Arabidopsis thaliana: one gene and its partners. The protein of the gene in region 3 interacts with the protein of the main gene of each other region in a pairwise test. Each region holds a gene or a part of one and is shown on either strand. Other genes may lie near its edges. The genes, in order: PUB29, PUB9 and RK3.

Region 1 (7,779 bases), on a different chromosome or scaffold from region 3:
ATGCAGTCCCCATTATGGTTACTCATATGACTTTACGAAAAGTTTTTCCATTTTTTTGACGGCACTTTACTAAAAGTTTTTTTTCTTCAGATAATATCCAAATTGTTAGTAGTCTAGTCGTTAATGTCTCGTAAATTTTTGTGATTCAAGTAACACGAAATCCCGCATGTCACCGATCGATTAAGATGTTTTGTTTCAACAAGCACAATTTAACTCTATATGTGGGTTAACATAAATGCATATTGATGATACCTTTATAGCTGTATAGTTCTCAATAATTAATCTAATAATTTGATTTTTTTAATCACACCACAAATAAAATAAAGTCATACTATTCTAGTTTTGTAGCTCAACCGATATACTAACTAGCTATAAAATTCGGAAAAAAATATCAAATTCCAGCACCAATGACGAGTCATAGATAAGAGATATAACTTTTTTGGTCTTTAACCTGAAAATTTATGAATGAATCTAGGTCAGCAATTTCCTTTAACCAAAAATTTCCAACTTAGATAGACCACAAAGTGTAAGATAATAAATTTGGTCACATGATCAACCAACAATGTTCCAAACTTTTTAAAACTATATATTCAGTACGTTACATGTATATAACGACACGTTTACTCAAAAACATGTATAGCCCACACGAGCAGATACCCCCTCGTACATGCGAAACCTTGTTTCTTTCTTGTCAACAATTCTTTCAAATATACTAAAGAACTCTTGTTTGATCATGTATACGTAATATGTGTGATCAAAATCATCCCGTATATTAAGGAACAAAAGGATGACCTTTATTACATGATACAAACAAAAGTAGATTGTTGTGAAATTATATGTAAATCGCACGCGAATGAATTATATCATTGTTTTCCTATGTTACTTTGTGGTTCCTCATTTTACTCTCATCATCTTCCTTAATTACCCGTAGCGTGTGAAAAATCTTCATCATTAGTATGTTATTATCAATAGCATTTTAAATTTTATGTGTAGATTAGGTTATAATCAATATTCGAAAAGAAAAACATTAGATGCTATATGGATCTGTTCGGAGGCCGCGCGTCTAACCTCTACACTAATTACGTTTGGAGGTAGTTCTAGTCATTCTTTGACAAAAGCTAGTTCTGGTAATTGTGTATTTTCTAAGAAAATAGTACTATATACTAATGTATTGAATATGTATCAGTTGGCCCGCCTCAATAAAAGGATTTCATTTTCGCGGTTACCAATTTTTTGTTGATTTAATCAGAATCATAACGTTTAGATGTTTCTTACCATATAAATTACCCGTTTTATATCACCCAAATTTAATAATGTGTTGAAGTTAACATATACTACACAACAAAATCAACTGTACCAAATCTGAATCGAAGAAAAAAAAGCTGGTTAAATCTGATAAATTCCTTACAAATATTCTAGAAAATTCCTCATAAATAACTCGCTAAGAATTGAATGATGTCGACTTCGAATGGGAACATGACACTGGATATGTTTTTTTTCATGTGATGCAAACGAGTTGCCTCTGCCAATGGCAACCTCTGAATAATAATACAACCCCACACTTTTGGAACTGGATTCTTCTTCATATCTCTATCTTCACCCTATATTTAGTTTAAATTATTTACACCCCAAATGTATGGAGAATTAACATTGAATATGCCTCATACAGATTTATCTTTGCCATTTAACAACCAGACTAACGTTTTTAATCTTCACTGAATGTGTTTTTCTTCTTTTCGATAAAAGCTTATCACTGAGTATATTATCTCATTCTATTTTTAGTTTAAATCTCGCGGTAAACAAATATAGTCATCGACCATGACACCATGTGAATTAACTATTAACTAATTACATGAAACAAAATAAGTTTTAAAGTTGCAGTTTCTATGAGATTGATATGTATTATCAATGACAAAATAGGACGTACGTAAAATCTTCTTTTTCGTTAGTATATTTCTTTTGTTTATTAGAATTACATGTTCCCTCGATTAGAAATACATTAGTTGCAAAAAAAGAGAATATTAAAGCTCCCAAAACTATCCTTAGTTCCTTGCATATGAGGACAAATGAAAATTATTGTCCACCAACAACCATAATGGATGGATCAGATGATGAGTGAGGTAAAATTATTAAAAGGTGAGATAATTGGCGTAGATGTTTTTCCGATTTGGCATAATTGCTAATTGTAGACAATGATGCACGTTGGCATCATTATAGTTTTATTTCCTTTCGGTGCAATTTACCCTATTATCAATTATATGCTCACGAGTTAATATATACATACTCTGATACTCAATTCATTTACCTGCCATAAGAATGATTATAAACAACAAATACAACGAGAAGAAATTTTTTTTTGATTACCATTCATTTCACTTAAATACACGTACGTGCTATATCGGCAAGTGCTAGCTAGATCGATGTCTATTAAAAGGTTGATACGATTTTACACTCTTTTTAACGGCTATTAGTTATGATCTTACCCGTTTAATAATGCTAAACCTAATTGAAAGTTGACCTAATAATAAGAAACTTAATTATTGTCCCAACATATTCAAAATAAATGATTCACGAGTCAGCAAAGCATTTCATCCTACTCCTACCTCTCACCTCTGAAAATTGAAATATTTTCAACACTTAAGTTTGATTTTACTATTAGGCCAACAACTTTCGGTCATCACCTTATGCTTTTCATCTACGGTTCAAAAAATTCAAATTTATTTTTATTTTCTTCTATTCAAAGTAAGAAACTATACGTCTATACGTACTATTAATGGATCGAAGGAGATACGATTAACCTTTTTTCTGAAAAAGAGCAACAAACTAATTGTACGTGAAAAAAGTAAAACTAATCATCTAAACTTATGTATTATTAAATGCAAAGCACCACCTTGTTTTAGCATCTAAACATATGTATTATATATATTAAAAATGGCACAACCGTGAGCAACTAAAGCAATGATTAATAAATAAATCAAGACCAATCTCAAATCCATTGAACTTGAATTATAATTAATACAACCCCCTAATTTGTTATGAGCCAGTTATACATCTTCTTCATTAGACAATAAGACAGTCCAACCATAATACATATATACATTATACTTTTCAGACAGCTAAAATGTTATGTATCTTCGAATACTTTAATAATTGTATATACGTTATTGCTCATCACAAAAAAAAGTCTAATTTATCTAACAAACATTATACTCAACAGAAGATGACAATCCGAAAAAGAAAAAAAACGCTTTTACTTTTCCCCCGAATCAAACACCTTCGCTCGAATAATAAAATTATCAAACACTCTTTCTCCTTAGTGGAAGCCACAACACAATTTATTTATCAACAACATTAGACATAAACTATCCAAAACATAAATGTCATCAAAATATTATTCGGCCATGGACCAATATCATCTTTGTATATCTGTACCACATTTGCTGACTCAGAGTTTGTTTTAAGTAACACAAATATTATAACATTGCTTTTGTAATCATTTGTTTTTAAATTTCATTCATAAAAAAAGTACTAAAAACAGGACATTATATGGACCAAACCCATGTGCTCTCGACGAGACCAAAATAGGCCACTCGTGCAGAGAACATGTCCCACCACTCCCACACGCTTCTGGCCTCCAAACTCACACGTGTAAGCAAGCATAAATAAAAGATCGTCACCGTTGGTCAAAGTCCTCCCATCAACAACACATCTTAACGGTTACGACTTGACCCAATCCCCTGACTCTGAAACGTTCTTTGATTTTTGACCCATGACCAGAATTTTTGTTGATTCTTTAAAATTTCTGACTTGTCATCAACATTAACATCTTTAATACACTACTACTATAGTATATAGTATAATCTTGCTACGGTGACGCAAGCGTGCGTTTGACTCTCTCTTAAAATCCCACCTCCACTCACTTTCTCTCTTCACCTTTCACTTAGCATCATCTTCACTTTCCCGCATTTTCTCTGCCCAGATTTTCTCTGATTCTTTTGTTGTTTTTTTCTGATGGGGAGAGATGAAACAGAGACGTACATTACAGTGCCAAGTTTCTTCAAATGTCCGATATCTCTTGACGTGATGAGATCTCCGGTTAGTCTCTGTACCGGCGTGACTTATGATCGAGCCAGTATCCAGAGATGGCTCGATGGTGGTAACAACACTTGTCCCGCTACTATGCAACTTCTCAAAACTAAAGATTTTGTTCCTAACCTCACTCTTCAACGTCTTATCAATATCTGGTCTGATTCAATCGGCCGTCGTCACAACGGTGATTCTCCGGTTCTGAATCCGCCGTCTGGTAGAGAAGTTCCGACGAAGGAAGAAGTGAATGTGTTGTTGGAGAGATTGATGAGTCTGGAGAATTTGATGAAGATCGTTCGATTCGTGAAGGATTCGGATTCGAACAGAGAGTTTCTCTCGAAGAAGATGGAGTTCGTACCAATGCTCGTTGATATTATACGCACGAAGAAGACGAAGATCGAGTTAGTTATAATGGCGATTAGGATTTTGGATTCGATTAAAGTAGATCGTGAACGGTTATCGAATCTGATGTTGGCGAATGACGGCGGAGATTGTTTAACGGCGATTCTCTTAGCGATTCAACGCGGGAATCTGGAATCGAAGATCGAATCGGTTCGGGTTTTGGATTGGATCTCCTTCGACGCTAAATCAAAGCTTATGATAGCAGAACGTGACGGAGTTTTAACAGAGATGATGAAATCGATAAGTATCACTGAGTCGTCAGATCCGAGTTTGATCGAAGCGAGTTTATCGTTTCTAATCACAATCTCCAAATCAAAACGAGTGAGATCGAAACTAATCGCTGCAAAAGCAATCACGAAGATCAAAGACATTCTTCTGACGGAGACGTTAACAAACGTTGCCGTGACGGAGAAGTCGTTGAAGCTGTTAGAGACTTTATCGTCAAAGCGAGAAGGGAGATTGGAGATTTGTGGAGACGACAATGGTAGATGTGTGGAAGGAGTGGTGAAGAAGCTCTTGAAAGTATCGACGACGGCGACGGAACACGCCGTGACGATTTTGTGGTGTTTGTGTTATGTTTTCAGGGAAGATAAGACGGTGGAAGAGACGGTGGAGAGAAGTAACGGAGTTACGAAGCTGTTAGTGGTGATACAGAGCAATTGTTCGGCGATGGTTAGACAAATGGCGAAAGATTTGATTAAAGTGTTGAAGTTTAATTCCTCTGCTTTGGCTGCTTACGAGACCAAGACTACTCATATTATGCCTTTTTGATTTTTTAGTAGTACATTATGAATAAATATGATATAAGTAAATCTTATTATCAAACTATTTTGAACGTATAGATGTTGTAAATCTTATGAGAAATTTTGTCAGTTTTACTAATATTTGCCTCGTGTTAATTGAGAATTATACGATTTAATTACTCATAGCAACAATTTGATACATTAATAGTTTACACGATTTAGAGCCAAATATATCATTTTCTTTCAAATTTGTAGCTTGTGTCACACAATTATACAACTTGTGTGTGTTCAAAAACATTATTTTGAAACAGTAAAGAAGGTTTAAAGATGGATATGCACTTAAAATATTCGCAATTTGAATCATTCGGCATAATTTCAAACATTTAGTTTATAAAAATATTTGAATAAAACAAAATCAATAGTTAAAAGAATGATTTTGTAAGTTTAGATGGTGGGGAAAGGCATCGAGTGACTATTATCTGATTAATTTGATTAAGGCTATAAATTAAAACTCTCTAGTGTGACTAGATAGATACTTTTGGTTCAAAAGAATTCAAATGACAGCTTCGTAAGTGTGTACTAGATTAAGTTAAAGTATGGTTCACTGAATCTGACTAAAAGTTTTATTACTATGAGTTAAATGGATGGTTATGCAATTTTGCTTATTACTGAACCAAAATATAGGAATAAGGTTCTTCCCTTTGGATTGAAGTGACAAACGAAAACTGGTCTCTAATGTCTAAATTATCTTGTAAACTAGTACCTTTTAACAAATTTACTTTTCTTTCTTGTTAGAGGACGTTGCAACATTTCATGGTCATGCCTCTCTCACACCCACCCGCTTTTTTATATTCTATCCTTTGTTCGAATTTTGATTTGAATGGTACTTGTTTCAACATTTGATTTGCAACGGAAAATATTATCTTTTTGAATAGTAGGAATCTATACACGTAAGTTTTCAGATTGAATGAATTTTTTATATATTATATACGATATAATAAATATAAACTGATTGAGGAACAATAAAGATTGTTTTAGTAAAACAATTAAAATTATCTGAGTTGATATTATAGAAGGTTTCAGAATCCATAATCTTTTGTCTTATTTAACTTTATAACTTAATTAAAAAAAAAATGAAATTTATTTTGGAGGATAATTTAATAGAGTATCAAAAACATATGGATATTAATATCATCTACAACTTATTTTAATTTTTAATATATCCATATGTTTTTGATACCCTATTAAATTATCCTCCAAAATAAATTTCATTTTTTTTATTTTAATATCTCTGCCAGTTATGTTACTTCTTTTACAAGAACATCACATTTGGTGTCACCATTTTTTTCTACGACAATGCCTACTTCCTACACATCCTTCTCTGCTCAACCCACAAATAACAACTGGTTTTTGTTGTTCAACATCTTCTTCTCTTCCCTTCTTGTTATTGCTCTCCGATTTTTCGATCAAGATGTCTCAGATCGCTACAGTTACAAGGTATCCAAAGTTACCACATAAACTCTATACAACAACCCTAAATTCCTCTGAATTGCGAGTAAAGTTCTATGTTTTTTTGTTTGCAGTTCATGTTTCTATACCAAGGAGTTCAAAATCTCCTCTGTATCTTGAAGAGAATCGTCCGATAGATGTTTAATGAAGTCTTTACCGCGCTCGCCATTTTTTATCTCTGCAAGGAATCTCTAAAACACCTGCTTTATAACTTGAATGTCAAATCCACATGCCGAGGAGAAATCCTCAGCAGGACAATGGTTTGAAGTTTTTAGAGAATGCATTCCTTGTGAAAAAACAAATTGGATTAAAGTTTAAGAACATCAAAACTAACATGAAAGGTGAGATTTTTTTGTTAAATACTTTCAGATGCTACTTTTTCTATGTTGTTTTTGTAATAACTTTTTCAACTTCCTTTTCTTAATCTTTTAGAGAAGGCAGTCCTTGTGGAAAATGAAATCGGATTAAAGTTTAAGAACATCAAATTTGAAGTGAAAGGTGAACTTTTTTTGTTTGTTTGTTAGTTTCATATCCAAATTTTGGTAGTTTGAAAACAAAAGTTCCAACTTTTCATAGTCACGTTCATATCTACATCTATAATAACTGTTAGTAGTTTCAAATGCAACGTTTTGCTCTGTTTTATTTTGGAACCATGACAATAGAAATTGTTTCGTTTGCATGTATAACCAGACACTAGTAAACATTCTCTAGAAACTATGCAAAACACTAAACAACTCAATGACTATGAATATGTTAGAATTTTTAAAACTTAGCTTTCTTCATACCAAAATTGTAAATACAAAGCCATTGAGTCTACCTTCGACCTGTAGTGTTTGGTGGATGTGGTTCAGCAAGGCGAGGAGTACCCATGTCCGTCGTTGCCAGCCCTCCCTGATACTAAGGCATCGTCAAATTCGGACCTCGATATGGCGCCGAACCACGAGTACCAAGTGTCTGTCAATTCCCCCACACTACTCAACGACAGTACTGGAGAGGTTTCTAAAGGACCATGTTGGAGTCATCTTCTATGAGTAGTTTA
Region 2 (7,830 bases), on a different chromosome or scaffold from region 3:
CTCGAATCCAACAGGATATATGGTAGAAGAAATATGGGAAGAGCTTTCTAAAGCAAAATACATGGAGTGGGAACTGGTTTCTGCAATGCGGTCATGGGAACTGAATAGTTTGAAGTAGGTTCTGTAACTTTCTTAATCCAGTGCTATCATTCGACTTGGAACTGTGCTTTTGTGGCTTTATGGAACTATTCATGTTTGTGTTAGGGAAACTTGTGAGGCTGCTCTTAATCAACAACGTGCTTTAGATATGTCTCGAACAGAAGAGTCCTCAGACGAAGCATATACTGCCCATACTGAGCGTTTGAAAGCTCTTGAACGAGTGTTTAAGAAAGCTGCAGAAGAAGATAAACCAACTGAGGTGCATTAAATTTTCTTTAAAAGCTTTTAAGACCCATCGTTCATTTATATTTGAGGTCAAATACATTTCTGGTTTTTCTTTTCAGGTGCCAGATTATTTATGTTGCAATATAACTCTTGAGATTTTCCGAGATCCTGTAATTTCTCCAAGTGGGGTTACATATGAAAGAGCAGCAATCCTTGAACATCTCAAGAAGGTTTGCATTATCATCGCTCTTTTCTTGTAGCCTTAATCTCTATAAAAAATATTCCTCATTCCTGTTAAGGTTTGATCGTTTACACCACTTGATAGGTGGGGAAGTTTGATCCTATAACTCGTGAAAAAATCGACCCGGCTAATCTCGTTCCAAATCTGGCTATCAAAGAGGCAGTGGCAGCATATCTAGAAAAACACGTCTGGGCTTACAAGATGGGTTGTTGATCGAAATGGGGATTAACATAAACACAATGAAGCGGATGAGAAATTGAGGTTAACTACTCAGGTGACCGAACAAAACAGATGGGTGCGTTTACCTTTTTTCACATTTGTGTTTGTTGTTGCCGATGTTTTCAGTGTAAGATTCTCTGCCCTGTGTATATATTACAATGTTTTTTTGTGCACTCTGTACACATTGGCCATATGGCTTAGCCTATATAACACACATACAGAATTTATTTACTATTGAGGAAAGCCCAATAACATACATACAGATATTGTTTATCATTGAGAAAAGCCCAATAACAGACAGATTTAGATGCAGTTCTCTGACGTCAACAAGATTGATGAATTGTATCTCATTAGGATGTAGTCCAAGGCATGCTTAAGTATTTTTTGAAACCTTCTTGGACCACTCCGGTTCTGTGCCATGAAAAAAATCTGGATTGTGTGATTAATCATCTAAAATAAAACTGAAAGCCTGAAAATTCAATATAAAAACAAAAAGTTGTCATGCAATAGTGTAGAAAAACAATGATTTAGTTGAATGTTCATCAAAGTTGAAAGAAAGCAAAAGACATGGGCCATCATAAGGTATTCAAAGTATTGAATGAATTCTGCCTAATAAGGCGTAAATCTTGGGGTCTTTTAAATAGAAATAAAACTACTATTTTCTTTATCTATATGATTTCCACTGGGGACACATAAAAGGTAAACCCACCATTGTGGTTGTGGATTATTACGATTCTTTTTCTTCCTTTATGGGATTTATTTCTTTTTTTGTATCCAATGAATTGTAAACGTTACTTCTTGGGGATAAAAAGTTAAAAAGAAAGCATCAAATTCTTTCTTTTCTTGGCTTTTCTGTGAAAGTTTGGTGAGGAATAACACCAAAGAGTGGTTTAGGACGAATCCATATTCTATCCTCTCTATTAAATATTCCATTTTTTCAACTTTCTCACGATATGTTGACCTGTAATTATTACGAATCACGAGTTTTAGCAATTTCGTGATTCAATTCTAACTTCCAAGCAATCCAACCAACCAAATACATGTGATTTTTATCATTACTTACATGCTTCTTGCCTTGTCTAGAACATTTTTTAGAAATATATTACAAAACTACTCCGTTATGTTTTCTAACAAAACTTATAATTCATCAGTGATAGTCGAAATTTATTTATAAGCTTTGATGAGTATTTATTTATATATAAATAAACTTAAAAGTACTGTTTTTTTCTAACACGACAATAGGAATCACATCGTCACGTTACATTACATAGAGAAAAAATCACATCAATGGAAAACTCGTGACTCTGTAATAAACTCTTTTTCCAGAGAGAGTGGAATTAGATTGATTTGCTTTGTGGTTTATCAGTGATGTGAGGAACACGACATGACAGCCTTTCTATGTATTTTTAATAATCTACTTATTTATACACAGAAACAGACGAAAAGCTACACACTGTTACTTGTTGACCAAGGCTTTCACAGCTGAATAAAGCCACCAACATTGATTTTATTGATTGATTTCTCCAGAAACATCAAACGCAAAAACTATTCACACAGATTTCTACTTACATCTCACATACGAAAACCAATAACCATTCAGATCCTAAAGATATGAATAATTTACAAAAATTCTTACAGCCAAATAAAGTAAAAAAAAGAAACAAGATTTTAGGTAATTTACATTGCAGATTTCAAGGCTTTTCTCAGGCTGTATGAGTGAGATTCATAGCTTTTCTCAGTCTGTCCAATATCCCGTTTGCTTTCCTCTGCGCCCTTGAAGTTCCTTCACGCGAAAGCTTTGTTATCGTTCCATGAGCATTCTCCTCTTCTTTGATCTCCTTCCACTTTGTCCTGTCGCTGAAACATATAGTATGCAGTATCACTATCGCATTCTCTTTGTTTCGCTTGCACTCGCTCTCTCGAGTTATCTTCAGCAACCATGAAACCCCACCGAGCTCACCCAATTCCTCCACAGCCTTCCAGTGAGTAACAAGCATTGCCAATATAGCTAAAAGCTCATCAACGTACAACCCATTCGAGATTTTCTTACCTAAAACCCTAACAGCTCCGTCTCTCACAGCTCTACTCCTGTTCTCATGGGCTATACAAAGAGTGAAGATCGCTGCAGCTACGTCTTTGATAGCTAATGGATTCCCTTCTTCTAGGAGATCGATAAGCGGTTTCAGGATTCCGGACTTCCCTATAAGTACTTTGTTTGAATCGAGAGCTGACAGAGTGAAGATCGCTGCAGCTGCATTGCTTCTCGTGGCGACTGTTCCACGCCTCAATGCATCGATAAGGAGAGGAATCACATTAGGATTTTCGCAGACGAGCTTCTTGTTGCTGTCATCATGTATTGATATGTTCAACAATGTTGTAACCACATCTTCTTGAAGCTTCTCATCTGGGTTTGACCCGTGTAACAAGGGATTCACCAACCTGGTGATCTCATCCGGAGATTCGCCAAAAAGAGCTCGGAACTCAGTGCCTTTCCTGGTCAGAAGTCTTAGCTCCTTGGCAGCTGATTTTTGATCTTGAAGGTTCGAAGAAGAGACTTTACAGAGCAAGGAATTGAAAATCTCACGATCTGATCTTGTCACAGTTTCATCTTCATTTACAAGGTTGGGATGATATTGGCTCTTCGTCTCAAGCCCGTTCTTCTTGCACCATTTCGAGATCATTTCACGGATTAAGAGATTAGGTGTTAAAGCCGTGTGAGGCAGAACTTGCTGAGTCTTGGGACATGTTCTGTTCCCTGAGCTCAACCATTTCTGGATAAATAACTTGTCGTATGTCTGCAAAATCACACACAAATATATAAATTTTTAGTTATATGCTTTCCAGATTTATTAAACAAGCTAAGGAACACATAATTATCCTCTAAAAATCACTTTTTTCATTTACATGATAAAATCTCCAGATTTCATCGTTTCGAAAATCATTACCGAAACTACCGACAAAACAAGAACTTTATGAAACCTGAGTCGGATTCTCTCAGTCGGGTCGAGAAAACAGATGAAAAAGTTTCAAGCCAATCAAAATTCCCCCAAAAATCCAAAATTTTCAGTCACCTAACACAGAAACAGCAAAATTCAAAACCCTAGAAGAAGAAGAATTGAATCGAAATGCGACGTTCACAAACCTGACCAGAAGCCAAAACGACGGGATCCCTCATAAGCTCATTAGAGAGAGGACAACGAAACTCCTCAGGACAAGACACAGTCTCGAGCATCTCTAACGAGGAAGATTTCGCCATCTTCCTCATCGTCGCTTCTCTCAACGCAGACAAAGCGTCCTGTAACTGATCAATCGTCTGAACACCCAAATCATCTTCGTCATCGATCTTAATCAGCAACTTCTTCATCTCACGCTTCAGTTCCTTGGCTTTAGCAATCGCCGTCGGATCCGAATCGAAAACACCGGTCTTCGCCATCGCCGTCGGTTCCACCCGCCGGTATTCACCAAACCCTTCTTCTCTCAGATGATACGTATGTCCAAATTTTTGAATTGATTTTCTCACATTAATTAATTTTATTTATTTATTTTCTGTGTGTTTGTGAAAGAGAGAGTAATAAATATGAGGAAGAGAGAAGAAGAGGCACAAGTGTTGTTGTTGTACTCTAGTGCTTCACTATAATAGAATTGTGGCCTGCACCGAATTTGCCACGTCATTATTTAGGAGTATTTACTAATTAATTCGACCAAAATTAAGAATTTAATAATGCAGCACGTATGACCTACCTCGCGACTAAGGTGTCAAAATACAGCCGACACGATTTGTCTCGTAGACTCATACACGTTTACTTATTTTTTTGGGTATAAATCCATACACGTTATTGGTAATTTAGCTAGTTATAACTTAATAGTAATTGATCGGCCTAATGGTTTTCATCTTTCCCTTGTGTTTGGTTTTGGGAGTTCGAAACCTCAATACATTGTTTTGTAACTAAGAGATTTTAAACGACGAAAGAGCTATTTGGAGAGTTTGTCAAGCCAAAACAAATATTCCCAAAAGTTTGTGAAAAAAACAGAAAATGTTTCAAAGGTTTACGAATTACGATGATCAAACTCAAATCTTTAAGACACCGAACCCATAACTATTATTTTATCCACTAAATTACTATTATTGGTTTATTGCGAGTATTCGAATTTGGTTCCTTACTTATGATGATTTTATTATTCAGTTATTAGACCATAACAGCTTTATATAATCGATCATTGTTTGATTCGTGTTTTTTTTTTGTCAATTGATCACTCCATTACCATCATTGTTTGAATTGTTGACCCAAAGAAACAGAGTAAGGAAATTTATAAAAGTAATCTCAATAACTCAAACGTCGTAGGAGGTTGTAATCAAAAAACAAAATCATCTCTAACGAAAAATGTAACATTAGTGTGGTAAACCAAAAAAAATTCCAAAGACGGTAACGGCGGCGAAAATTAGAAGATGTGCGAGAGGAGTGAGTGTAATGAAAGTGGGACCCGCACAGTTATTCCAACATGGGAACAGCTGTCTTTCCGCGTGGATTCTGTTGTACTCCTCTTCACTCTCTCTCTCTATTTCTTCTTTGACGTTTTTACCCCTGCCGTTTTTCACTCTTTCTTTTTCTTCTTTTTATTTTTGTTCTAAACGTTTTAAAAACAAAATTGTATTAAAAAAAAAAAAGCAACCAAGTGTTATTATAGCTTTCGACGCGTGATTGGATGAATTAAGAGAGTTGACCAAATCTATAACATTCAAAAAAACCAAAAAAATGTAACCGGAAGATTTTGTTTTATAATTAACTTCTTTATCAAGATTTGGTTTTCACCTTTTAGTAACATTCTGTAGACAATAATATTAAACAAGATGACACATCACTCCATGTCTGAAACAAATTTAAAAGGTGAAAACGACTTCTTCCACCAAAACATGAAATTTTGAAAATATGTTTTAATTCCAACAAATGTTTTAACTAAACCAAGTTATATATATTGGCCACGGAATTTGTCTTGGCACTTTGTCTACATTGTTAATTGTTAGAACTTCAAACTAAAATTATTAGTACATTTATTGAATTTGTTTAAATTTGTATGGATTTTTTTTATAAAAAAAAATACTATTGTACTTCGGTTTATTTAACCACCATCCATAAGAGTGGGTGATCGATGTTCATATACAACGATACAAAGTGTTGAGGTTAGAATAGTGTCAACTCAATTCTCAAATTTGAAGTTGTTAGTAGACCAACTATTATTGAGTGGCATTTTGAAATAGACACGTGTATGAATAATATCTATTATTTCTGAGAAGTGGGCACCACTCATCTGCAAACACAGAAGAGAATCTCACAAGTGCCAAGCTGGACTGCTGATAAAAAATCAGTTTACGTAGGACCACCCTCTAACCCACGTGTCCCTTTCTAATGCCCTCGTTATCTTCGAACTGTCGTTTTTTTTCTCTGCTTGCTAGACATCTCTGCTTTCTCAAATTATTATCTTTGTTTCTGTTTTTTTTTCCTTTAAGTTTTGATTGTGTGATAATAACACTCTTATCTTGAACATGTCATTTCCAAAAGTTTGAAAAAAACAAACTGAATCTTCTGAAAGAAAATATTTTTTTTTTTGGTACAAGGTTAAATTCAAGAGAAAATTGATGAATCTTTGTTATTTTCTTCACAATGCAGTGAGTTTGGTAATCTACAGATGAAATTACACAGAGAAAATTCATGAAATTATGAGTTGTTGGCATGTAAGGTGTGGTGTACGTTAACATTAAAAAGAAATGTCAAATTGTCAAAATATATTAACATAAAACATATATGTGGACACTAAACTGGACATATTATATATTTATGCTTGGGATATTTTTAGTGTTTTTTATAGCGAAATATCCTTGATGTTATATATGTATGTGTTTGAATTCTCAAACTTCTCCACTTCCTCTCGCCCTATTGTTTTGTCGGCGGAATGTTGATATTCTTTTCTTTTTTGAAAAAAACGTAATGTTGATATTCCAACATGCAGTTCAAAATGATGGAAGATTCAATTTGAAATAATGTTGAATGTACGTCGAAATTCATGGGTACAAGCTATTTTTTGGTGTATAGTGATTTTTCAGTCCATATATACATGAGAATCGAAAATATTTCTGATAAAAATTTCTGAATATGAAACAATAACCATTCTTGGTTCGTATCTTTCAGTTTTAGTTCATACATTAAAGACTTTTTCGATTAAAAAAAACATATATATAGAGTACAGAAGATCATTAATGGGGTTTGGACGTATTTGGAAGCCAATTAAAGTGTTGTAAGATAGAAGACAAGACCAATAATTGAAAGAAATAAAATAATTATCATATTAATGTTATCATGTTATGTGGAACATATATGAAAGAGGCCCATTTGACACGTATGTTTCTTTTGTCACACACAACCGATATGTTTTGTTTTACTAATTAGCAACCTTTATATGTTCTTAATCTTACTACTTAGTACGTTTATGATATTGTTCCAAATAAAACTAAAGTTTCTCATTTAATTAAACGTACACAAAAAACTTTATTTTATCATACTCCATATAGATGGTTGGATAAACTTTACTTTGGCTTGCTTGAAAATGTTGAGTGTATGCAACTTAGTTGACATTGAATATTCAATAGAATTTTATATATCATCTTAAATGTATAATCAAATGGTAACTCTGTAGCATAAGAACAATGTACTAGAGATAGAGAGTTCTCAATTTAACAAAACAAAGATGCGAATGTTTATGCTTCTATTCATTAGTGAGGATAAAGATTCTCCTCTCATGAATCCTTTTATGAATGAATTCAATAGGCCCATTGAAAACAAAAACGTGTAAAGCCTAATAAAACCAATAGATGTAAATCCAAAAGGTGAGATCCGTTGAGTATGGGGGACTTTGAACCCTTAAATAGGATAAAAACTTGACCATGAGGCCCAGTTTCTTGTCAAAGCAAGCCCTAGAGAATGGGGATCCCATACTTTGGTTATTGAAAGCCACATATCTACTTCAATGAAATGAAAGAAAAAAGCCTCAAG
Region 3 (10,005 bases):
GAAGAAGAACACCGTTGAAGTGTGAAAGGAACATTAGTGTTGGAGAGGATGAGTTCTTGACTTTGAAATCTGTGAAGTTGCCTGATTTTGAAATTCCTGAACATAATCTTGTTGATCCTGAGGATTGCAGAGAGAGGTGTCTGAGGAATTGTTCTTGCAATGCTTATTCTCTTGTTGGTGGTATTGGATGCATGATTTGGAACCAAGATTTAGTGGATTTACAACAGTTTGAAGCTGGTGGTTCTTCGCTTCATATCCGTCTTGCTGATTCCGAAGTAGGGGAGAACAGGAAAACAAAGATTGCAGTGATTGTCGCGGTTCTTGTTGGTGTGATCTTGATAGGAATCTTTGCTCTGCTTCTATGGAGATTCAAGAGAAAGAAAGGTACTAACTACGTTCTTTCTTGATTTCTTAGTTTGGTTACTGCATCATAAGATCTTGTTGATTTACTTCTCTTTATTATATGCAGATGTTTCAGGAGCATATTGTGGTAAGAACACCGATACATCGGTTGTTGTTGCTGATCTGACCAAGAGCAAAGAAACTACTTCAGCGTTTTCAGGATCAGTAGACATAATGATTGAAGGGAAAGCTGTTAACACATCCGAGTTACCTGTCTTTTCTCTGAATGCTATAGCCATAGCTACTAATGATTTCTGCAAAGAAAATGAGCTTGGAAGAGGTGGATTCGGACCAGTCTACAAGGTTGGTTGATTACTTTGGTTATAGACAAGAGTCTTTGTGTTTAATTTTTGTGATTTTTTTGTTGATGATTGTGATATTTATCAGGGTGTTCTCGAAGATGGACGTGAGATAGCTGTGAAGAGATTGTCTGGTAAATCAGGACAAGGAGTTGATGAATTCAAGAATGAGATTATTCTCATAGCGAAGCTTCAACATCGGAATCTTGTGAGATTACTTGGATGTTGCTTCGAGGGAGAAGAGAAAATGCTTGTTTATGAGTATATGCCTAACAAGAGCTTGGATTTCTTCCTCTTTGGTATGTTTCCTTTTTTAAAGATCCAAGAAAGAATAAGCACTTCCTTTCATTCTTCTTAGTTTTGCTCTTTTGAATGTACAGATGAAACGAAACAAGCGTTGATAGACTGGAAACTGCGGTTTTCGATAATTGAAGGGATTGCGAGAGGATTGCTTTATCTTCATAGAGATTCAAGATTGAGAATCATTCATAGAGACTTGAAGGTTAGCAATGTGTTGTTAGATGCAGAGATGAATCCAAAGATCTCAGATTTTGGTATGGCAAGGATCTTTGGTGGTAACCAAAATGAAGCTAACACGGTTCGCGTTGTTGGAACTTAGTAAGTAAAAACTGAATTCCAAAAAACAGAGCAAATGTTTTATTTCAATGAATCATGTTCTTAGCAACTTACTTTACATTTGATATTTGTATATTGTAGCGGATACATGTCTCCTGAATACGCGATGGAAGGACTTTTCTCGGTGAAATCCGATGTTTACAGCTTCGGTGTCTTGTTGCTAGAGATTGTAAGTGGGAAGAGGAACACAAGTCTTCGATCTTCTGAACATGGAAGTCTCATTGGTTATGTAAGTTTCCCAAAAACTAAGAGTAAAAACTGTTGTTCTCTCTTAATGAGCATTTGAAATTTTGGTTTGGTTTGGTTTATAAATGGTCTAATTAGTGGTGGAAACTGAATGCTTGCAGGCTTGGTATTTGTATACTCATGGGAGATCAGAGGAGCTTGTGGATCCTAAGATCAGGGTCACATGCAGTAAGCGAGAGGCCTTGAGATGCATACACGTAGCGATGCTATGTGTTCAAGATTCGGCTGCGGAGAGACCCAACATGGCTTCAGTTTTGCTTATGTTAGAGAGTGACACAGCGACGCTCGCTGCGCCTAGACAACCAACGTTTACTTCCACCAGAAGAAACTCCATTGATGTCAACTTTGCTCTTGATTCGAGCCAACAATACATCGTTTCTTCTAATGAGATCACTTCAACGGTTGTTCTTGGACGATAAGATTCTTTTGTTTGTTCTTTTGTAAAGTTTTTTTTTATATAATTGTTGTGAAAACGTATAATATTTTTTGGTTAATTAGGATAATGGAGTAATGGTTGTTGAAACTTGAAATTTTGTTCATAAAGTGAAACATTACAAATGGGGTTTTATTACAGTATGATGTTGATATTTTGAAAAAATCACCACACTATTCTTTTTCAAAAATATCACAATGGATCAATTTACAAGTATAAACAAATGAAAACAGATAAAATATCAAAAAGCATTTATCTGAAATAAATCTTCAAATAAATCGTTTATACTATAACAAAGGTGGTAGTCTTAAAATATTTAGGTTAGTTTTGAAATGAGGATCATAATAATTGTTTTTCATTCTATTAAATATAGGTGAGTTGTTTCAAATATTGTAGGATTATTGTGTTTAATTTAATTAAAATGTGATTGATTTTTATGTATAGAGTTATTATATATAAATCAAACGAGGAACGAAGAATTATGAGGATGTTCAAAAATAAGACTTTTGGAGCGTTGACTATGGTAATTAGTACTGTTTTGATGGTGAAAAGAGTATTCGGTCTTCGTATTTCATACTTATATAATATACCTAAAACCGTGTTAACATAAATTTTCCTCTCCTCCAAGCTCCAAAGCCAAAAATCGTCAAACAAAATGCATAGGACAACATTATATTTGGTGATGAATAATTCAAATGTAGACTCATTATTAAATTGAATGGAATGATGAATTATTTAGAGTTAGAGAAAAAAAGAAAAAGTCAGGAAAACGTGAAACGACCCCTTTCTTTTTTGTCTTCGGAGAATGCGGAAATAAATTAAAGTAGGGTTTGTTTGATGAATACTAACATTGAAGTTCTTATTGGGAAGGATAAAAAAAAAATTGAGTTATTTATTACGAAAAAGAACACTGAAATTTATATAACTCTCGAAGCATGCATACAAAAGGTTGACTGATAATAAAATACGAAAAAGCAATATATTAAGTAATTTATTAAAAAAAATGGTCATCAATAATATCATATTTTGAAGAAAAATTCTGAATTTATGAAGTAAAAATGACTATTGGAAAAGGAAAGAAAGCCTGACAAAAAAAAAGAAGAAGAAGACTTTTTATTTGCTAGGTCAACTATGAATTGGACTGTACACATAGTACATAACTAGATATTTTTTCCAAATGCGAACAAGAAGACCAAGAAAAGAAAAAAAGCAAGGTAATATATTATTGACAGAAATAAAATCGGTTACGTAAGGTTCACACATTACACAAAACATGTCCGATATCTCCAATGGAAATAAACTCTCATACTTTTCTCAAGAAAGAGTGAAAAACAAAAAACTTGGTTTAGAGAAATGAGAGGTTTACCAAATTTCTACCATTCTTACACCTTCTTCTTCTTCTTCCTCTTAATTCTGTTCCCTGCTTACTCTATCTCTGCCAACACTTTGTCGGCTTCAGAATCTCTAACTATCTCAAGCAATAACACCATTGTGTCTCCTGGTAATGTCTTCGAGCTTGGTTTCTTCAAACCCGGTTTAGATTCTCGTTGGTATCTTGGAATTTGGTACAAGGCAATCTCTAAGAGAACCTACGTATGGGTTGCAAACAGAGACACTCCTCTCTCTAGTTCCATCGGAACTCTCAAAATCTCCGACAGTAATCTTGTCGTTTTGGATCAGTCCGATACACCGGTTTGGTCGACGAATCTGACCGGAGGAGATGTGAGATCTCCATTGGTGGCAGAGCTTCTTGATAATGGTAATTTTGTGCTCAGAGACTCCAAGAACAGCGCTCCAGATGGAGTTTTGTGGCAGAGTTTTGATTTTCCGACAGATACTTTACTTCCGGAGATGAAACTTGGCTGGGATGCCAAAACCGGGTTCAACAGATTCATTAGATCATGGAAATCTCCAGATGATCCATCAAGTGGAGATTTCTCGTTCAAACTCGAAACCGAAGGCTTCCCTGAGATTTTTCTATGGAACAGAGAATCACGAATGTACCGGAGTGGTCCATGGAATGGAATCCGGTTTAGTGGTGTACCGGAGATGCAACCATTTGAATACATGGTTTTCAATTTCACTACGAGTAAAGAAGAAGTGACTTACTCATTTAGAATCACTAAAAGCGACGTTTACTCGAGATTAAGCATAAGCTCCTCAGGATTGTTACAAAGATTCACTTGGATTGAGACAGCACAGAATTGGAACCAATTCTGGTACGCACCAAAAGACCAATGTGATGAGTACAAAGAGTGTGGTGTTTACGGTTATTGCGACTCGAACACTTCACCTGTTTGTAATTGTATTAAAGGGTTTAAGCCGAGGAATCCTCAAGTGTGGGGATTGAGAGACGGGTCGGATGGTTGCGTGAGGAAGACGCTACTGAGCTGTGGTGGCGGAGATGGGTTTGTGCGGTTGAAGAAAATGAAATTGCCGGATACTACCACGGCTAGTGTGGACAGAGGAATTGGTGTGAAAGAATGTGAACAGAAGTGTTTAAGAGATTGTAATTGCACGGCGTTTGCGAATACGGATATCCGGGGTAGCGGGTCGGGTTGTGTGACTTGGACCGGAGAGCTTTTTGATATCAGGAATTATGCCAAAGGTGGTCAAGATCTTTACGTTAGATTGGCTGCTACTGATCTCGGTTAGTTCATTCTCCACTATCTCTATTAGACTAAATGACATATGTTTGGTTTTCATTTTCCACATATTTACTTTTGCTAAGTAACGGTTGATAATAGTCTTCAAGATCACTTTTCAAAACATGTAAACAGTTTTATACATACTAGAAACTAAAAAGACATCATAAAAGATTTTGTCAGTAAGACTAAAAATTGATGCTAAAACTGCCCAATCAAGTTATTGAGTAATCCTATCACATTATACTAAAGATTTTCTTAAACGACAAAAGGAAGAAACGTTTTTTAAGGGTTTCAAGAATAGTAATTAACTTGGTTGTTAGATAAAGCACTTTTTTTTTGGGGTAGAATGTGAGAATGGTGTTGAATAGTGCAAGTCAATGTTATATTGTTGTTGGTTAACGAATTTGGAATTTAACAAAACGTTTTTCAGTTTTATTTTCCCTCTTTTCAAACTTCTTAAACTTGATTGAGATGTTGACGCATTCGGTCTTGGCATTATATGTGAAAACTCTTGTGATAAAGAACTAAGGTCCAATGGACTTTTAATCTTCTTAAAAGATGCAACGCATGAGTGAAACTTTTGATTACTACTATATTCTTCACAAAAACTTATCAATCTCAAGAATAATATGGTAAGGTAGATCCAAAGCCAAAAGAAATTATTTTTAGGTAGACCAATCTTTATGTTTTGTTTTTATTGGCGATAACAGTATAACGCTGTTTTTTGTTTGTTGGCGTTTATCTTTAATCAAAAGTACGACAATGTTTATTATTTTGTTAAATCATAAGACTAATACTAGTTTGTTTTATAAAATGATATTCATTTCCATGGTCGAGGTCCTAAATGTTGTGCTCAATTTGACATCTCTTTTCATTATTTCAGAGGACAAAAGAAACAGAAGTGCAAAAATCATAGGTTCGAGTATTGGAGTGAGCGTTTTGCTTCTTTTAAGTTTCATTATCTTCTTCTTGTGGAAAAGGAAGCAGAAGCGATCAATACTAATCGAAACACCTATTGGTATATCTGTAAATTTTAATTCCTTTCTTTTTGTTTGTAAATTTCTTAAAACTAATATCTTTACTGTTTTTGGTGTCTGTATGTAACAGTTGATCATCAACTGAGAAGCCGAGATTTGCTAATGAACGAAGTTGTAATATCAAGTAGGAGACACATATCTAGAGAAAACAATACAGACGATCTCGAATTGCCATTGATGGAGTTTGAAGAAGTTGCCATGGCCACAAACAATTTTTCTAACGCCAACAAGCTAGGACAAGGTGGTTTTGGTATAGTTTATAAGGTAAAAATGATTGAAAACTTAATTCATAATCTATCGCTGGACAAATATTTCGTTGTGTAACAAAATTAAGGGTTACAGGGAAAGTTACTTGATGGTCAAGAAATGGCAGTGAAGAGACTATCAAAGACATCAGTTCAGGGGACTGATGAGTTCAAGAATGAGGTAAAGTTGATTGCAAGGCTTCAGCACATAAACCTTGTTAGGCTTCTTGCATGTTGCGTCGATGCGGGTGAGAAGATGTTGATTTACGAGTACTTGGAAAATCTAAGCCTCGACTCTCATCTATTTGGTTAGTGTCTCAACTCCTTACAACTCTGTTCTAACAATTTTTCAATGTCTTTAAAAATAATGTACTCAATCCAGTGATGATTCATTAGCAGACAAATCCCGAAACTCTAAGCTAAATTGGCAAATGAGATTTGATATCATCAATGGTATTGCTCGAGGACTTCTATATCTTCACCAAGATTCACGGTTTAGAATTATCCATAGAGACTTGAAAGCAAGTAACATCTTGCTTGATAAATATATGACTCCAAAGATCTCGGATTTCGGAATGGCTAGGATCTTTGGACGGGATGAGACAGAAGCTAATACGAGGAAGGTGGTTGGAACCTAGTAAGCAATCATTCTCCAAAATATTAAAAATCTTTGTTTGAAATCTGAATTAAAAAAAAATAACTCAAAACTTTGAGTCTAATCTTCGTTATTCAGCGGTTATATGTCTCCTGAATATGCAATGGACGGGATATTCTCGATGAAGTCAGATGTTTTCAGTTTTGGGGTCTTGCTTCTTGAGATTATAAGTAGCAAGAGGAACAAAGGATTCTACAATTCGGACCGTGACCTTAACCTTCTCGGTTGTGTAAGTTAAAAACCTCTCAAACTTGATCTTGTTTTACACTCAAAATAATGATAACACTAGAAAAATTTCGATCATTATACACAGGTGTGGAGGAATTGGAAAGAAGGAAAAGGGCTAGAGATCATAGATCCAATCATCACAGATTCTTCATCAACATTCAGGCAACATGAAATCTTAAGATGCATACAAATTGGCCTCTTGTGTGTTCAAGAACGTGCAGAGGACAGACCAACTATGTCCTTGGTAATTTTGATGCTCGGAAGCGAATCAACAACTATTCCTCAACCTAAAGCGCCCGGTTATTGCCTGGAGAGAAGTCTTCTTGACACTGATTCTTCGTCGAGTAAACAGCGCGACGATGAATCATGGACAGTGAACCAAATTACTGTCTCGGTCCTTGATGCTCGGTAATGTGACTGTCAACTAGCCAATCTTCTATACTAAGATGACTAAATTGAGCGACAATAAGAATCAACTAGGAAAGATGGTATTAGTTATGTGCATAGTATTTTCTCTGTACGTCTCCGTTGCAAAGGTTACTACATGATTCAATTGTCTTAATTAAGCATGTATTCTGTAATTGCTTTATGGATAACCCAAATAGTCCTGCAGTTATAGGACATCAATGTGATATTTTGAAAGATTCTCAGACTTTCATATTATAAATTATGGCTACTAGAAGAGGCAAATATTGTTGGTTAGTAGAATTTCGGGTTGTACGTTTTGAGATTAGGTTTGTACATGTTGTAATAGATTTTTTTTTTAATAAGTACATACGTTATAAGAATTTTTTATGATCAGCAACACCTATTTCCATCGCTAACCATGGCCAAAATCCGGTGGATTTAATTTATGGGCTTTAGGAAGATCATGGGGGTATAGTGGATTTTTTGTTTTTAACTGATGACAGAGTAAATCCTTCATGGTTCCTTCATTTTAAGGTGATTTCAAATTTTCCTTCATTTCAAGGTGATTTCAATGTTTGTAGAGGCTTGATTAAAATTGTTTTAGATCATAAGGATTTTTGTGCATCAAAAGTGTTCGCAATTTCAATGTTTGGAGAGGCTTGATTAAAATTGTTTTAGATCATAAGGATTTTTATGCATCAAAAGTGTTCTGTCAAAATTCCTTAATTAACCTTTGATGAGTAGCTCGTCCTTTAATAATGATAGTTGATATACAGAATTGTGATTTATGAGCACATTAATATTGACATGAATGCTTGCTAATTTAAATTTTAAATGAGAGTTTAGAAATTTAGAATATTTAGCATAGATAATTAATTTCTTGAGAGATGATTTTTTTTGGTCGGGTTCTTGAGAGATGATTAGTGTTATATATTCGTGATCTCTTAATGGTTGTCCTTACTTCTTATTTATGCTTTGTTTCCCTAATCTTTATGATAAGTTCCTAAGTCCATGTCTATCTTGATCGATTCTTGTGAATCATGATTTATATATTTTAAGTTAATCTTGTTTCTTGTTTGCGTATTGCATGATTTTTTTTTGTTCCATTTCGGCTGTCTTTAGTTTAGTTACTGTTTAGTTTATCTTTTTTTCCGAACACTTAATTTTATTAATCAATCTCAGCGGAAAAAAAAAAATTCTCTTTAGTTTATCTTATTTGACAAAGTATTTTTTCGTTGACAGAATTTTTTATATTTTATCTTGGAGAAACTATTTATTTTCTTCCTTTTCACTTGTGTGGTGTCAATATATAGACTAGACAAAGAAGGACATCTTGTGAGTAAGTAGGTTCAGAATTTGACAAATTCAATTTGTTTATTTATTATTATTTTATTTTTGATAAATTCAGGATTTGACAAATTCAGTTTGTTTATTTATTATTGTTTTTTTTTTTGAGAAATTTTCCATCAGTTTGGTTTTTAGTACCATTAATTGTTTACATAAAAATTTCGTAAATAATATGAATTACAAGGCTGGTTAAATTTAGTGCTATTTTGTTTAAGTTCAGTTAAGTTAAACTGAATTTGGCACCCTATTTTTTTTTTTTTTCCTCGAAACAACGACTAAATTTTGCTATTTTTTTTTTAATATAGAAAATGGCCGAACAAAGTCACACAAATCTTCTAATTACACATATGGCCATAATCTAGAAGGCTAACATTTTCAATGTATCGAAGGATGCACTTGCATGCGAGAACGATACCGTGTGATGTGGGCTTTCGTGGGACAAGGATAATGGATGAATATATACTTGGTGAACTGCATGTGCTATGTTGCATGGAAATTAATTTCACACGTAGATTTTCTGGTAAATTGTTGACCATGAAAAAAGTTGGTTGAAGTAATTTTAATTGAAGCGATAAAAAGTCATGGAACGTGGAATAACACTACTCTTTGTCGTGTGGGTAAAATATAAATAAGATTCATGGGTTAGATAAACCTGAAATAAATATGTGAAAAATCGTATAAATAAAGAAAGCAAAAGGAAAATGAACAACATATGAGAGTGGTGGAGAGAGATCGAGAGATGAGAGGTGAATTACCAAACAAACACCATTCTTACACCTTCTTCGTTTTCCTTTTCTTCTTCTTAATTCTGTTCCCTGATCTCTCTATCTCTGTCAATACTTTGTCAGCTACAGAATCCCTGACAATCTCAAGCAACAAAACCATTGTGTCTCCTGGTGGTGTCTTCGAGCTTGGTTTCTTCAGAATCCTTGGGGATAGTTGGTACCTTGGGATTTGGTACAAGAAAATCTCTCAGAGAACCTATGTATGGGTTGCCAATAGAGACACTCCTCTCTCTAATCCTATTGGAATCCTCAAAATCTCCAATGCTAACCTTGTCATCCTCGATAATTCTGATACGCATGTTTGGTCAACGAATCTGACTGGTGCGGTGAGATCTTCTGTGGTGGCAGAGCTTCTTGACAATGGCAATTTTGTTCTAAGGGGCTCCAAAATCAATGAATCAGATGAGTTTTTGTGGCAGAGTTTCGATTTCCCGACAGATACTTTATTACCGCAGATGAAATTGGGTCGGGATCACAAAAGAGGGCTTAACAGATTCGTCACATCCTGGAAAAGCTCATTTGATCCGTCAAGCGGGAGTTTCATGTTCAAACTCGAAACTCTAGGATTACCTGAGTTTTTTGGTTTTACCAGCTTTTTGGAAGTGTACCGGAGCGGCCCTTGGGATGGACTCCGGT

What was found.
Region 1: the proteins of RK3 (region 3) and PUB29 interact in a two-hybrid assay, tested with the Arabidopsis thaliana proteins (one study listed by BioGRID).
Region 2: the proteins of RK3 (region 3) and PUB9 interact in a two-hybrid assay, tested with the Arabidopsis thaliana proteins (one study listed by BioGRID).

What each region holds. Positions count from the first base shown.
Region 1 is NC_003074.8:6,431,714-6,439,492, reverse strand, and holds PUB29 (plant U-box 29), read left to right. Parts: upstream 1-3,446; 5' UTR 3,447-4,011; coding exon 4,012-5,259; 3' UTR 5,260-5,411; downstream 5,412-7,779. Other genes in the region: AT3G18700 (uncharacterized protein), read left to right, coding at 6,588-6,728, 6,815-6,868, 6,994-7,081, 7,173-7,238, 7,596-7,771. UniProt on the Arabidopsis thaliana protein: Functions as an E3 ubiquitin ligase.
Region 2 is NC_003074.8:2,351,271-2,359,100, reverse strand, and holds PUB9 (plant U-box 9), read right to left. Parts: upstream 4,462-7,830; 5' UTR 4,218-4,461; coding exon 3,927-4,217; exon of another isoform or gene 3,580-3,926; coding exon 2,488-3,579; 3' UTR 2,236-2,487; downstream 1-2,235. Other genes in the region: CHIP (carboxyl terminus of HSC70-interacting protein), read left to right, coding at 1-114, 205-358, 444-554, 650-778. UniProt on the Arabidopsis thaliana protein: Functions as an E3 ubiquitin ligase. May be involved in the abscisic acid-mediated signaling pathway, at least during germination.
Region 3 is NC_003075.7:11,386,455-11,396,459, reverse strand, and holds RK3 (receptor kinase 3), read left to right. Parts: upstream 1-3,233; 5' UTR 3,234-3,369; coding exon 3,370-4,666; intron 4,667-5,547; coding exon 5,548-5,682; intron 5,683-5,771; coding exon 5,772-5,965; intron 5,966-6,043; coding exon 6,044-6,254; coding exon of another isoform or gene 6,255-6,259; exon of another isoform or gene 6,260-6,345; coding exon 6,346-6,583; intron 6,584-6,679; coding exon 6,680-6,830; intron 6,831-6,914; coding exon 6,915-7,241; 3' UTR 7,242-7,633; downstream 7,634-10,005. Other genes in the region: B120 (S-locus lectin protein kinase family protein), read left to right, coding at 1-384, 470-705, 790-1,000, 1,082-1,319, 1,419-1,566, 1,685-2,002. UniProt on the Arabidopsis thaliana protein: Involved in the regulation of cellular expansion and differentiation.